Coturnix japonica: one gene and its partner. The protein of the gene in region 1 interacts with the protein of each later gene in a pairwise test. Links are inferred from orthologs where the notes say so. Each region holds a gene or a part of one and is shown on either strand. Other genes may lie near its edges.

Region 1 (7,316 bases):
GAGGACTGTAGTGGGAAAGAGAACATGACAGTTTGAATCCTAGCCACTTTCAAGACTATTTTTAAGTGCTTTGTAGTGTTTTTGGAAAGAAGAGGCCAGCAGCTTGGCCAGAAGCAAGCTGATCTTCAGACATTACCCTGTGTAATTTGCTGGGTTTCAAAGAAACATCTTTTTTCTCCACTCTCCACAAGGAAGGCAAAAAGAGAGTGAACATCTCAGCGCTGTTCCCAAGCAGAGCGCAAAGCTCTCCTCAATCGTTACCTACAGAGTTTCAGGATCTGCTTCCTAGAAAGCATTGTTCACATGCCAGGCTGCTGCTGTACTCAGGTGGTTATGAGAAAGCAATAACATGCTGGTCTCGTAATGCTATGTTAAGAATCCATTATTAGGGACGTGCAAATCGACAGCAACTGTTCCTGTTTACAGTGAGGAGAGGGGAGATGTGAAACAGAACGTTTTAATTCCTTCAGAGGGAAACAGATGCTGGAGTTCCCTCCTTGGCACTGAGTAGGCAGGTGTAGTCATAGACATGCCCTGCTGCTGCTGGTGGCAGTTTGCTTTCTGTTGGAAACAAAGCACATCTGGTGTATCTCGCAGCTTGCTGCTGAAGTCTGTGTGACTTTCACATTTGTAACTGAAAGGGAAAGACCTGTCAGAGACAGCGTGAAGTTTTGTTGCTCCAGGGAAGACCATAAGGCAGGAAGAAACATATGGGAAGTGTTGAGACAGCAGTGATCTCATAAAGGCATGAAAGCAGAGATCCCTTCCCCACTGACACCAACGGTGGTGCATATCTCCTTGTACCTGGTGCGTATCTCCTTGTACCTGAGAGCAGGGAGTGGGCATGCATGCCTGAGTTCTGTGTTCTGGGTAAGCAAGCAGCCAAGTCAGCCTCATGCAAGTGGAAAAAATGTAAGCAAACCACTGTGAAGATGGGTTATTCTGATAGACATTCCAGTGGCATTTTATTTTCCGTTCCTGGTGTTAAGAAGGAAAGTAATCCCCAGGTGCTACTACAGCACTGTCCCTGCAATCAGAGAAGGGTCTGGGAGCTCTGACAGAGCACGTGGCAGGGGCTGTTACATACATCACTTGGTCTGAAACCTGCTGCAGTCAGCGGGATGGTTTCCATTGGTTCCAGGAGCAGGCATTGCTGGTGAGCAATGAGCACAGGAATAACCGCTGTGCATGTGAGGGGTGATCTCTGAGGAAAGGGCTTTTCATCATGGTGTCACTGCAGCCAGCATCACATGTGTATGGTTGGAAACATCAGAGCCTTCCAGGCTCCTCTGTGGCCCACTCCCAACAGCTGGCTCCTGCTGCCAGAGGGATTTGCTCCAGTTAAACAGCTCACCCAATTATCTCCCATGGCAGGGAAAGAAAACTTGCTCAGTGATGAGAGATCATTACAAATTACAAGCTCTGTGAGTTTGGGACAAACGAACCCCCCAAAGTGCTGCCTGGTTGAACACACTGTGTTCTGTGTGATAAATAACAGCTGACTTTTTCCATCGCTAGGAAATGAATCACTGTGGAGGCAAAACCAAAAAGGAGTCTCAATCCAGCTAGGAGACCTGAGAAGGAAGCTGCTGGAGGAGAAACGTATACTAACTCCATTGGCCTGTAGCCTGTCTTACACTTACTAACAAATGTCAACAACTAGGTAATGTCCTTCCTTTGTTCTTTCTGACACTAGCCCAGGACTTGGGGGTGAAGGTGCAGAAACATTCATTTTCCCTACTTCTTTAAATTCCATGTCTTGAAGGATAAGTCACGATCTGCACAAAATATAGTGTCTGTTAGTGGAGCCCAGAGAATCTGAGTCTCGTTTGAAAAACAAATTGTGTTGGAATTAAACCAGACAGAGAGAATGCTCAGGAGTGTCTGGTTCAGCCCCTTGTGCAGGCTTCTTCTGAATGAGAGATCTGAGACAGGACTGTAACCAATGGACAAAGCTGGAAAAAGGGAGGTCAAAGGGAGGATTTTATTTCCTTCCTATGTTTTGTTGATGCTTTCAGAAAGCACCAGGTACAGTCAGTCATCTTGTTCAGTTTGTTGCAGCTGTGAGAACTTAAAATAGGCTGGAAATAAATTTCTGGGTTTCGGGGACTTGCATGTCACGGGATTGTGACTATGCTTTGTTTGCAGCTGTTCTACCCAGCCAAGAAGTTATGGGATATATCCAAGCACCCCAGGCTTCACTGAATTTAAGTGTGGAAATGGCCAGTGCCTTGGGTTTAAAACAAAATAAAATGGAGACAGAGTCAAATGCAAGCCCTGATGCACCTGGTCTGTTATGTCATGGAAACATTTCTTCCTGCCTCTTGAAATGCTCAGATTACATCCTGATGCCTGAGATTCAGTTCCTTAGTTCAGCTCAGATATTACTGGTTACAAAATCCAGGCAGTACTTGCTTTCATGCAGCAGCTGCGCATTGTGTGGTGAAGTGCTTCCTTTAATTCATTCTTAAGTGACTTGCTTTTAATCCTGCAGCGTGACCTCTCACTGCAGGATGTGCTTCCCAAGCGTGAGTCAAGGGAGGAAGAGCTGTGCTGAGGGGAAGGCACTTCTTGTGTTCACAGCCCAAACCCATCCTCCGTCTATTCATCCATCTGTCTTCCCAGAGCTCCAGCTCGGAGATATCTTGTGTAGTGCAAGCAGCATAGCAGCCAGAGAATCACAGAGCTGGTGAAGTCACCATGAACTGTATGCTTATGTGCTAAGGGATAGTGAAGGAAAACTTCAAAGCAGGCTAAACATAATGTAAACACTAATTATTAGCTTAATTTTGCCACACCAGCTGTGTTGTGTAGGACCATCTGGTAAGCAGAACACAAGATTGCGATGTCCTGTTTGTGTTTCTACCCGCAAGTTGAATGCTGATCCCTGGGTGAATGTGCATGTAAGGCTTGCTAATCTCGGGGTACTGTTGCTGGTGTGACTGTGGTCTTTGGGAATGTGTGAAGACAACTGAGGAGGACAAGGGAAGATCCAGAGGAAGGTAAAAACCACTGCCTATAGTTAAACACCCTTGGTGGCTTTGTTACTGTGTCTGTATGAGCTGCTGTGCTTAGCTCCTACTGTCACATATCTCTAGATTGGAGGCAAATAGCAGAAGTGCCACTGGTGATGCATTATGCAATGCAAGTACCAGAACGTCAGTCCACTTCCCCCATTGCTCAGCTTCCCCTCTGCTCTTACAGCTCTGTTCATCTCTGTTGCAGGGAGCAGCCAATCTTCAGCACCAGAGCCCATGTTTTCCAAATAGACCCTGCTACCAAAAGAAACTGGATCCCTGCCAGCAAACATGCTTTGACTGTCTCTTATTTTTACGATGCCACACGCAATGTGTACCGGATCATCAGTGTGGGAGGCACCAAGGTAGGGAGCATTTGCTGACAGCATCACAGTTTGAAAGCAAGTTTGTCTCCAACCAGTGTCTGTTCTGCAATTGATGCTTTCTCTGTCACACTGATTAGTTTGCAGCATGGGGCACTCTGTCGTCTTTACTGCAAGGAATGGAAGATAAAACACTGCCTCCACACTTGAATGTGATCAGTATTGGACACTAGACCCTCTGCTAATGAGAAATGTGCTTAGTGTGCTTTCTTTTCTCTCTCTCCTTGACTCTTTCCTCTTTGAGCATGCAAAAGAGATCTTTCTAAGAGCCCTGATCCTGTGCTAAAACTGACCCATGTAGACAGAATGAACAAACAGAGGTGAGGCAGTCTGTTCAGCCACTAACCCCAAGACAAGGCTGATTCTCCCTCAGCTGTTCTTGATATTTTTCTGACTTGTTTCTCAAGACCTCCAGCAGCAAAGATTCCACAGTCTTCTCAAGCGGTTTATTGTGCTACTGCCCCAACCAACAGTGTTTTGTAATAGCTTGTGCTAAGTGCAGTTTAAGCCTTTTACTTAATGTTTTTTTAATTCCTGCTTGCCATGAAAGTGGAGAACATCAGAAAGTTGTTCAGTCCCCAAAGACTTTCCGCATCTTCTCTTTTCTTCCAGCAATGGAGGCCCAATGAAGCTTGTAATGTTCAGGCTTTCTTATTTATTTATTTTTTCCTACAGTAGACAAGAAGATTCACACTTGTGTGTATTTCTTAGCTAGACTAGAAAGACTTTTGATCACCAGAACCCCAAATAGCTGTTTTATACATTAAAAGCAGAGCTTCTACCCTAGTAGAATTGATAACCTACTAATTGGGGTGATCCCACACAACGCCCTTGGGCAGCAGAATGGAGTTTTCTCTAATTCATTCTTGCCTCTCTCCACAGGCAATCATCAACAGCACTATCACTCCCAACATGACCTTCACAAAGACATCCCAGAAATTCGGACAGTGGGCGGATAGCCGAGCTAACACAGTATATGGATTGGGCTTTGCTTCAGAGCAACACCTCTCCCAGGTAATATGGCAGATGCTGGTAGAGACCTGATCCCTGTAAGACAAATATCCTTGAAACCCAAAAGGGAGAGTTCAGCTTCAGGTGGAAAAAAATAAAAACAAAAACATTAGGGTCCTGCTGGAACCTGATTCAGGATACAAAGGTACAAGGAAGAGGTTGAAAGTAATCTTTATAGAGTATTTGAATGTTACAAAATGAATTTGGATTTAGGGCTCCCTGATTATTTCTAGCTACTCTCACACTTCTGAGTGCTGGAATCATGGGCAGGTAGGGGTTATTCCCTCAATCCAAATATTAATTGAAGATGAAACAGAAACCACATAAAATGAAATAACAGAGGGGAGGAGTAACCCAGACATTAATTCTAATTTGTTCTACGTTTTGATTTAGCAGTACAGTGACTTTTCTGCTCCCTTATAGTTTGCAGAGAAGTTCCAGGAAGTGAAAGAGGCAGCACGTTTGGCAAGGGAGAAATCCCAGGATAAAACAGAGCTGACCAATCCTGCCCTGAATATCACATCTCACCAGGTAATGCTTGGGAACGGGCATGAGCAGTGGTTGCTAGGGGAAATGGTCACTGTGCTGATCTCCTCTAGCAACTTTTGCTTCTGTCTTTTTGGCCCAAATGCTTTTTTGACAGACACTGGGGTTGGGGGTTCTTTCTGATGACATCTGTGGCCCTGTAGTCACTCTACTGAAGCACATGAAGTGGATAAAATAATTACTGCTTAAGTGGAGCTCTTAGGAAGGTTTACTCTCCTCCCTCTTTGTCAGTTAAACATTTGTCTTGAGAAAATCATGCTGGAAGAGGTCTTAGGTTTTCTGTTAGTGGTGGTGGTGGTGGTGGGTTTTGGCTTTATTTTCTTTAGAGTTATTGGCAGTAATAGGCAAGGAACATGCAGGAATGCACATAGCCTGGCTGAAGAAGTTAGGAGGAAAGATACGTGGCATTTCGAGCTATTTTTGTTCCCTTGCTGGGGCTGCAGGGGAGTTCCTCTCCCAAGTGTCTCTGGGTGCCAGTCTCAGAAAGACAAAGTGATTTCTTATCATTGGTGTCTGGGGAGTCCCTGCTAGACTTCTTCCATTTCTGTCTTCTTTCCACTGTAGAAGGAGCTGTGCTATCCGTGCACTGTGTTCCACCTTGGAGAAATCTTCACTGAGGTCGAGATGCAGGCATGACAACCAGTCATTCAATTTAGTTTCTCCCCAGACCAGAAAGCTTAAGCCCATCACTTATCATTCTCACATTTGTCACACTTGCAATTGCTGCCTGTCTCCCTGTATAACTAAATCAATTCCAGCAGCAGGAGGGTGGAGAGGAGAAAATAAGCTGTGGAGATGTCTACGCATCTTTTTTCTCATGTTGCAGCAGTTTGGCATTGATGGTGAAGTTGCCTTCCCAAATAGTGCTCTCCAGAGGTGGTTATGTACTTCACTGAGCTCTTGGCAGAAGGAAAGGAGCTGTAGGATGGAGGATGCTGCGTTCTCTGGGTTGAATACAGATGGAATGGCAGCAGGAGGAGGAGGGAGTGTGAACAGTACCTTGGCCTGTATGGAAAAGAGGGGGAGGTAGAGGCAGTGGCTCTGAAGAGACTGGAAATGTCACGTGCAATGGAAAAATGGGAAAAACTCACCTAGGTTTTGGCTTAGTCCCATCTTAATATGTGGCAAATGAATAAGAGAGCTGTATAGAGCATTCATAGCAGAGCCAAGACAGATTCATGTTCAGCTGCATCTATGAGAGCTTCCTTGGCTGGGAGGCAAGGTGGAAGTGGAGAAACTCTCTGCTATTCTGTTTACATCAGGCAGAATGCAACAGTTGTCACAATAGGATGTGTCCATTTCCCATGCACAGCTATGGCAGAAGGGATGAGGTGATCAGGAGGTGGTTTGGCACACATCTTGGAAGTGGCCTGAGGCTCAGTTCATTCTTCGTACTTGACTCAGCAGTGCTAAAATGGCCTCAGTGTAAGCCCATGCTCACCCTTCCCATTCACCGTGCCTTATCTCTCCATAGGAGAACTTGCACGTAGGTATGCATGACCCCTGCCTGCAGCCATCTGGAAGCCAGCACACAACACATGCAGTGTTTGCTGCCATGTGGGCATGCAGACCTTGTCTTGCTTCCCCCAGCCTGTACGTACATCATCTCCTACTACTGGTTTTCAGTCTCTGCATTAATACAGCTTCAAACATGAGCTTCATCCTTCAATAATTGATTGTTCTTCTGTTTGCAAGTGAGCAGAGAGCAGATCTGTCTCCTGAAATTAAATCAGGGCTCTCTGATTTTCTGCATTTGCACTAGCTAATTTAGGCTTCAGACTTAAGAGGAAATCCCAGGACAGCAGCTCTCTCCCATCCTCTAGTACCTGTTAGGTCAGTCCCCATCCTGTTTTAGCATCTCCATCACAGAGCAACAAAACATTGTGGAGCATCTTCAACTGTTACCAGTTTCAGCTGAATTCACAGGGGCTGACAGACTAGACCAGAAACTTTTGCACCTTGCCTGCCTCAGTTTCTCCGCCTATAAAAAAGCCTTATGGGGCAAGATGAGGCAGGGTTGTATTTTGCAGGTCTTGCTTCTCGATTGCCCTTTGGAAGGCTTCTTGAAGCCAGTGTTCAATACATCTTGTGGTCCAGTCTGCCTCTATTTTTAGATGTCAGATGACTCTGAAGACAGGTGGCTGTCCTTATCAGACTTTTAAGGGCTACCTTCAACTCCAGCGGGCTCACCAGCCACCTGGTCTCACAGCCCTCAACTAAGAATCCCAAAGTCTCATTACTCACAGAGTCTTTTTATAGCTCAGTTTGCCATGTCTTTGCCAAGTTTCTTCCCTGCTATGCAAGGAGACCATGAAGGCAGGGTCTTCCGGAGAGACTGAAGGATGTAAAGACTACTTTG
Region 2 (7,937 bases), on another chromosome or scaffold:
CGCACGGTGGGTGTATGTGCCCCCTTGCTGGCAAACATGGTGGCTCTGGGACAAGCCTTCCTCCAGTCTCTGGGAGCAGCCAAAGTCTCCGATCTTGCATACTCCATGCTCAGTGATGAGGATATTGGCAGGCTTCAGGTCGAGGTGCACGATGCCCTGCGAGTGAAGGAAGGCTAAGCCAGTCACAATGTCACACGAGTAGCACACAGCCTCCTCCATGCTCAGAGCCTTCCTCCCACATCCTCCTTCTTCCTCCTCGCCCTGCCTCCACGCATCTTGAGTGCCATAGATGACATGGTGCAGGGTGATGTTGCCAACATATTCCATGATGATGGTGCCCAGGCTGTTCTGGCTGGCAGGGGCACACGTGCTGGCAGCCACCACACGCACCACATTATCATGCTGCAGTCGGGCTACGTTCAGCTCAGCCCAGAAGCTCTGTCGGGATGCCAGACGGTTTTTGCTGCTCTTCTTCACCTGCTTCACAGCCACAGTCACACCATGGTAGGTGGCCTTGTAGACAGCCCCAAAGCCTCCAGATCCCAAGGGCTGCAGAAGGCAGAGTCGGTCCCAGTCAATGGAGCACCAAGCCAAACGTGGGGGCAGGCGGCGTGTCCTGGGTGAGGGGGTCCCTCCTAGGAAGGCTTTTCCATCTTTGCCAGGGATAACTACAGGGCTGCTGCAAGGTCTCAAGTCTGCAGATGGGGAGAGCTCTAAAGGAAGAAAGCTATTAAAAGGAATAGGTGATGGCATAATAAGATGCCAGAAACAGTTAGGAGGACAAGAGACTGGAAGGCTTCCTTGTGGCATTTTCCAAAGGCTCTTTTATTCTCTCTGCACAATTTTCCCCTCCTACCCCCTAATGATCTGCATCTGTCTCAATGAGCTAACCCCATAATCAGGTTCATCTGAGAACATTCTTCTTCCACCCTTATGTAAATCTCCAGAAGGTAAAGGTCTATGGATTTAAAACTAAAACAGATTAGTGTGTGTGTATTTTGCATGATTTTTAATCACAGGAGATAAGAAAGATACTTTGCTCAATGAATATCTCTAGCAAAATGCCCTGGTAGTAAATAAAGTGAGTGCATTTTGCTGGGGTTGTAGGAAAATGATAATTGTCAGATGCATTAGAGAACCTGGGGTCATTCTCAGAGGACACAGCTGAGTAGTAACCACTAACATTTGATAGGCCTATGGCAGGCATAACTAAATGTAAAAGTGAGTTTAAAGGGACCTGCAACTTGTGTTTGACAGGAGGAGGTGTCAACAGAAGAATGAGAATGGGAAACCTGGATTATCACCCAGTGATGTGAAACAGATTGGCTAGGGGAGATTTAGATAAATAGGTGTTAATGTGTGGTAGGAGTTGCTATCAAGGTAGAGGTTGGAGAGAGGTCTCATAGGGGCAGGGTCCTGCTCTGACATCAGCTATGCTGGGACATCTGGGGGCAGTGGAGGACACCAACAAGGAACCTCTCTGCAGTTTTAAATATGCTGCAAAGCAACCAGTACAGACAACAGGTTGCAGCAGTGCTGGGGTTGTATACCTGTGTGGTGGCTCCACTTAAAATCTTCAGAAGAAGTGCATTCTCAGTAGGTGAGCTGTGATGATAACAGAAAGCTGCAATAAGTAAATCCATCTATACTGGAGATGGAAATGACAGCTGCTTCCCTTGAGAAACAACCACTGCAGGACGTCCTTGCCACACCTCCCAGCTACATTCAGCTCCACTGTCCCTGCTCAGAAGCAGGGTGCTGGGCTGGCAGCCCCACTCATCCCAGTGCCTTCCCCAGGAGAGCCCACACTGGGCACCCAGGAAGGCCTTCAGCTCTGCTGTTCCCATGTCGCTGCTATTCCCACAGCAATATAAGGAAAAAGGAAGCTGTGTGAACCAGTGCTTACCGGCAGGGAACTTCAGCATGTCTTGAGCTCTGGCTGCTGCAAGTGTCATTAAGAGCAAGCACGTAATAAGAACTTTTAGAAGTAAAAACAGCAAAGCATGCAGCCTGTGTCCTGAGGGCTGCAGCATGTGGCAGTGCCAATAACTTGTGGCAGGATCCTGATGTTCCAGGCTTCTATGAAACACTTTTACAGTAAAATGTACGTCTGATGCTGCAGTAGCTTCCCAGCCTCAGCTGTGCTTCAAGCTGAGGAGCACAGCATCACCCATGGGCATCTCATCTGTACTCCAGGAACTCCATCTGCCAGTGCTGTTAGCTACTACCACTGTTCATAGACTTGCAAAACAGAGCCTGTCCTGCAAACATCTTCAGGGATGGGGCACCCACCACCTCTCTGGGCAACATATTCCAGTGCCTCACCACCCTTATCGTAACAAACTTTTCACTTATATCCAGTCTAAATCTCTTTTCATTCTGCCTGAAATCATTTCCCTCTGTGCTATCACAACAGTTCCTGCTAAAGTGTCTGTCCCCTTTGTTCTTAAAGCATATGGTTAAATTCTTCTCCACAACCATTAGTTTATTTATTTGTGCATCTGCTCAGTGAAAAACACACCCCTTTTAGGCCTGTGTGTTCAGTGTCTTCTAAGAAGTGCTTTCCAGTATTAAGGTAGCACTGTTTCTATTAAATTCCTGCATTTATCTCCTAAGTACTTATTCTGCTCTGAAAACAACATGGCTCCTTAGCCTGTACCTTTGTGACTTCTGAGTTTTCTTTACCCTTTCTAAATCAAAGCTTTTTTTCCGCTTGCTGTCAGTCTCTGTGATCTCACTTTGGGGTTTGATGACAAACTGACGTTCCTTCTCACTTCTATCCTCATTTCACAGTGCAAGTGTTGCTTCCAGTCACACTTCATAGACCTCTTAACGGTATTCTGAGTTGCATGAAAGCAGTTCTGATAAAATCAATTGTGCAGGCGTAAGCGACATCATCATTTGAAGCCAGTCCATACACACAGCCTGCTCTGAGGATGGGCCACAGACGACTGTTTATTTTAACTGCAAGGACGAGCCAGAAGTGAATAGTTTGTATTTTGGAGTTATGGTTGCTTTGCAAATGACACCTTGTAGTAGCAAATGTAGACAAGTTTTCATTAAAGCGCTGAGAGGTAAACCTTAATGCCAAGAACAAGCGCATCCACGGGAGTTGCAATGCGATCTTACAGCCCTTCTTTAGAAAAGAGCCATAATAATAAACATTTTAAAAGGTTAAATCCTGGTTTATAAATAATAAGATCAAGTTTCAAACACACACTGCCAAACAGTCGCTCCATATTTTTTTATTTTCATCCCCAAAAGGTTACTGTGTTTCAGAGCAGCAAGCAGAGGCTCTCCCTGCTGCAATGCTCTGAGGTGTTACCTGGAGGCAGCTGGAGGAAAGCAGGGGGGGGTCTCATGGCCCATTCACTATGAACACAATTGGACCAGTGATTACAACTTGGAACCTGGTGCTGTGGGTTAATATCACAGTTGCAGAAGAGCACCCTTGAGACGAAATGGTCTAAATTTAGGTGTGAGGATGATAAAGGTGAAACTCTGGACCGCAGAACACTTTCAGGTGACACAGAGATGGGTGCCTCTCCCTGTGGGATTACTGCTGTATAAGGCAGGCACATCATGCAGTGCTTCCAGCCACATTGGCCAAGAGTGTTTTTGCAGTCCTGCCCCTGTAGCGCAGCTAACAAACAGCTTTGCTGGGTTGTGGGGTGATAACAAAGAGCATTGGTGGAATTTGAGAGTTGTAGGTCAGGGAATAGAAAACGGCTTCTGTGCTTAATGAGCAACGTGAATCAGCCACAGCAAAGGGCCAACGGGACAGCATTAGTGCTACGCAACCACTAGGTGATAGATGATTTCCCAGGCACAGCAGATGTAATGCTGATGCTTGGGACTGAACCCTTGCTGTTGCAGGTGATGTGTGGAAGGATCAGTGATCCCAGCATCCCACAAAACCCCTGACCACTGATAACACCCAGCTCCATGATCGTAATGATCGCTAGGCTGCAGCAGGACAGAATTCAGTGAGTTTGGCAAGTTAGTCTATGCTTACTTGTCCTCAGTGTTAGATAACTCCTGCTCCTACGTTACAGTTTAAAGGTTGCTCCTTTATCTTATGTCCCCTTAGTTGTACAGCATCTATACTTTATTTTCACTTTCAGTGTAAGTACTTGCGAGAGAAACTTAAGGATGTACCCATGACCACATGTGCAATCATTTAATAAAAAGGCAATAAGCCAGAGGTGAGCTTAAATTCAAAGGCTCTGCCAACAAGGACTCTTCTACTGAATATCTATCTAATGCTACACAGGGGTAGCTGAAAAACACCTTCCCCACAGGAGGCTGTGCACCCTGTAGATAAGCTGCTGCCTCTCGTAGATAAATCGAGGAATTGGAAGAAACTCTTCCAATGTGTCTGGGAAACCAAGCACTGTGTTAAGTGGGAGATACCTTTACCAATAGCGTGATTCACTTTGGACTTGAAAAATGCTGAAGTTCCATGCTTACATTTTTTGAAGTGAAACAAAATGTATTTCTCAACTTTGGAAAGTTTCCCCATGCATGCACACATGTACACACACACACACACACACCACACACACACTCTTTTGTATATATATATAGTATATATATTTGTATATATATATAGTATATATAATTATATATATATATAGTTAGTGTGCCCCGGTGGCGCAGTGGTTGGAATGCCGCGTTGCGACACCGGAGCCCAGGTTCGAATCCCCTGTGGCGCAAGTGGTAGAAGTGCCGCTCTGCTACACAGAGGCTCGAATCCCGGGGGTTGGACTCGATGATCTCTAAGGTCCCTTCCAACCCGCACGAGACTGTGATACTATGATACGATGATATATATACACAAAAGTTTAGGCAATATACTGATTTCAGATTAATCAGAAATTGTGATTAACAGGAGCTCAGGGGCACAGGTTTAGATTTCTCTGTCAAAAAAAAACCCCAAACATTCTGTATGTTAGGGTACACTTATTAAATGGAAGGAAAGAAGGGAAAGCAAAGGGAGAAAGTATAACAGATCTTTTTCTTCCATTCCTTTCTTCTACACCTTTCAAGCAAATCTGGACAAGAAGCAGTTGAAGACAGGTACCGCCTCTTCCTCCATCTGTAGAGCTGTTGACTCTTACCATGGCCAACTCTCTCAAGTCAGTTAGAAACCTGTGACACAGAAGTGACAAGTCAGTTCAGAGGCGACAGCTGGGAGTCGCAAGAAAGCAAAAGTGTCTGTATGACACAGTTAGTGACTCTGGAAAGATCCTCTCTTTCAGACTGGTGAACAGGAGAAAATCTAAAAATTAAAGAATTGGAAGAGCAGGGCATTAGTAATATACATTTTGAAGAGCAAGGAAATGCAAATTTGAAGCAGCTTAACAGCAAACGCTAATTCTTTTCCTTTCCTGGCAAACAATTCATGCTAGGAAAATGGCTACATGGAAAAAGAGCACTTTCTTCTGCAGCTTTCTGCAACTGTGGGTAGGCTGCTGGTTTCATGGTACTTCTTCACTCAGTGCATTAGTCAGACTTGTTAGCGAGGCTTCCACAGCAGTGTCACAGGCAGACAGGAGGTGTGTGGTATCAAAACAGTGAAGTTTCTCCTGGAAGCGTGTCAAGAGAGGCAACCCACACACTGTGCCTGGAACACATGCCACAGTCTCACAGTTTATCCTACGATCTATGACAACAAAAATAAATCACTTGCATTCATCTGAAGTGATGGAGAGAATCGCTCACCCATTTCTCCCACGAGACCCCCAAACTCACCTTCCAGCTTCTCAAAAGGGCAGCTTGATGGCAAATGCGACTGCTTGCTTCTATTAGAATCTGTCTTGTCACAGACACAGTAGCATCATCCAGTCTGTTCCTTGGTAAAATCATGAAAGGCAGAAACTTCTGCTCATTAGATTTGCTGCAAAACTGACATTTTACCAGTCATCAGTCAGGAACACAGTTACACCTTTGCAAAATCAGAATAACTACACCCAGGAAAACTGGATGTATGTAAAATCACTCCTTGCAATCCCAAGCATGCAGACCGAGATTATCTATTGAAATGCCAGGCATAAGTTATTCATTAACTAAAACCATTCTGTAATTTTATTGATATATTTTGTGGAGTTCACATATTTTTGTACAGCAAACATAACACTGTAGGCCACAAGAAGCTGCAGCACTATTGTTTAATAGCAGCAAGGTATATTTTATAATCAGGGTATGTGGACAATAAATAGTCTGTTTCTTTGGATGTGAATGTTTAAAATGAAGTTCTGCTGCAGCTTCATAATGTGATTGCTATTTTACAGAGCTTATACACAAAAATATATACGCAATCTTTTTGTCTATATTTTATACAAATACAACAGTAGTTTGTGAATACATTTTAAAGTACATATACATGATAAGCAACTCAATTTCCCATATCACAGGATAGCAAATTTTAAATGCAAGAAACATACACAAATTCTGTCTGGAATGCAGGGTTTTCTGTGTTCTTTTTTTTTTTTTTTTTTTTTTTTTCCCTCTGTTTTTGACTCAAAAATTTGATCATTCAAACATTTTAGCATTCGAGTCCAAACGATTTTCCCACTATCTATAAAATAGAATTTCAGCAATCCAAGCCAGGTTTGGGTGTGTCATCATTCCCCAATATACTCTTTCCCAGTTTTTGTCTAAATTCAGAAGCTTTTAGTAATATATAGTATGTTCTTCACTCCACACCATATAAAAAGCCCACGTTTAATTGTAACTAAATCATCTATTTTTTTTATCTTTTTTTTATGTGAATAAGAGCTGGGCTTGTCAGCGTTTAAATTTGCATGTCCAACATTTTAATTCTGCAAGTGCATATGAATACATTGTGGTGTTGTACAAAGTTCATTAATGACAAATTAAGTCACAGTATAAAAATATATCATACAACTATAGGTCTAGTATAGTCCTTTTTTTCTATGGGTAAAAATACATCTGAATGAGACAGGGAGGTTTGTAGCACCATGAGAGGAGTTGTATCCCAAGTTACATTAGCAGCATGATCCAATATAACAATATTGCAGGAGTGTTTCTGAGGAGATAAACATTCACTCTGGTTCAACTGTACCACTGAAGCTTATACTGAAAAGTGTTTACATATGATTAGCAATAGTTCTGTGTCACTTCCAGGGCTAGATAACTGTTATCAAAAGACACTGCCTTCCAACAAAGTAAGACACCCTTATTACATAAAGCTTTGGGACAATCCAAACACATTTTTGAACCACTGTGGCATTGTTTGTATGCTGAGTGTAATGCTAATGCCTATGGTTTTAATTGTACACTGGGAAGATGCAGAATGGGCAGCAAAGTCTATACAGTTTACTACATACCAGGTAAGTACATTTATTTCGGAGGCTTATCTATAGACTGAGAAGAATATAGGATGAGCTGCTAAACCAGTGTATGAGACAGACATAACGAAGGATGCAGCCCTGCTCCCCTTGACATTTACGGATGCAGGATCAGGCCCTTAGTTAACTTCAGACAGCAGCATAGCGTTGAGAGCATATGTTAAAAAAATCTGCATCAAATACTGCGTGTTAAATATTTTTGCAATAGTTACCACCCAGAACTCCAGAGGACACAATTTACAATTGGTGAGTGAGGACAAACTCTTTTTCTTTTTTCTTTTTCTTTTTTCCTTTTTTTTTTTCTTTTTTTCTTTTTTTTTTTTCTTTTTTTTTGGACTGGTATTCAAAATGGCAGTAGAAGACAGTGTAGTTTGAAACATGTAAACCTAGTAAAAACCATTGTAAAACCCTTAAGAAAGACACACTGGTTCTGTGCAATATAGCAAATTGATAAGAAAACACTGTAAAAATGTACCTGTTTAAAATTACAATGTCTACCATTTTGTACACAAAGCATTATACCAAAGGCCTACATATATGTCATCTAATGGCACTTGAAACAAA

Evidence for each region. The genes of interacting proteins can lie anywhere in the genome.
Region 2: the proteins of HOMER3 (region 1) and MOS interact in binary tests that used the Homo sapiens proteins (3 or more experiments, as listed by UniProt). The two-hybrid records come from large-scale screens. The link is inferred for Coturnix japonica from reciprocal best matches to the Homo sapiens genes HOMER3 and MOS.

What each region holds. Positions count from the first base shown.
Region 1 is NC_029543.1:2,749,126-2,756,441, forward strand, and holds part of HOMER3 (homer protein homolog 3), read left to right. Parts: intron 1-1,518; exon of another isoform or gene 1,519-1,649; coding exon of another isoform or gene 1,650-1,663; intron 1,664-3,225; coding exon 3,226-3,382; intron 3,383-4,282; coding exon 4,283-4,414; intron 4,415-4,834; coding exon 4,835-4,942; intron 4,943-7,316. UniProt on the Homo sapiens protein: Postsynaptic density scaffolding protein. Binds and cross-links cytoplasmic regions of GRM1, GRM5, ITPR1, DNM3, RYR1, RYR2, SHANK1 and SHANK3.
Region 2 is NC_029517.1:100,573,975-100,581,911, forward strand, and holds the start of MOS (proto-oncogene serine/threonine-protein kinase mos), read right to left. Parts: upstream 4,520-7,937; 5' UTR 811-4,519; coding exon 1-810.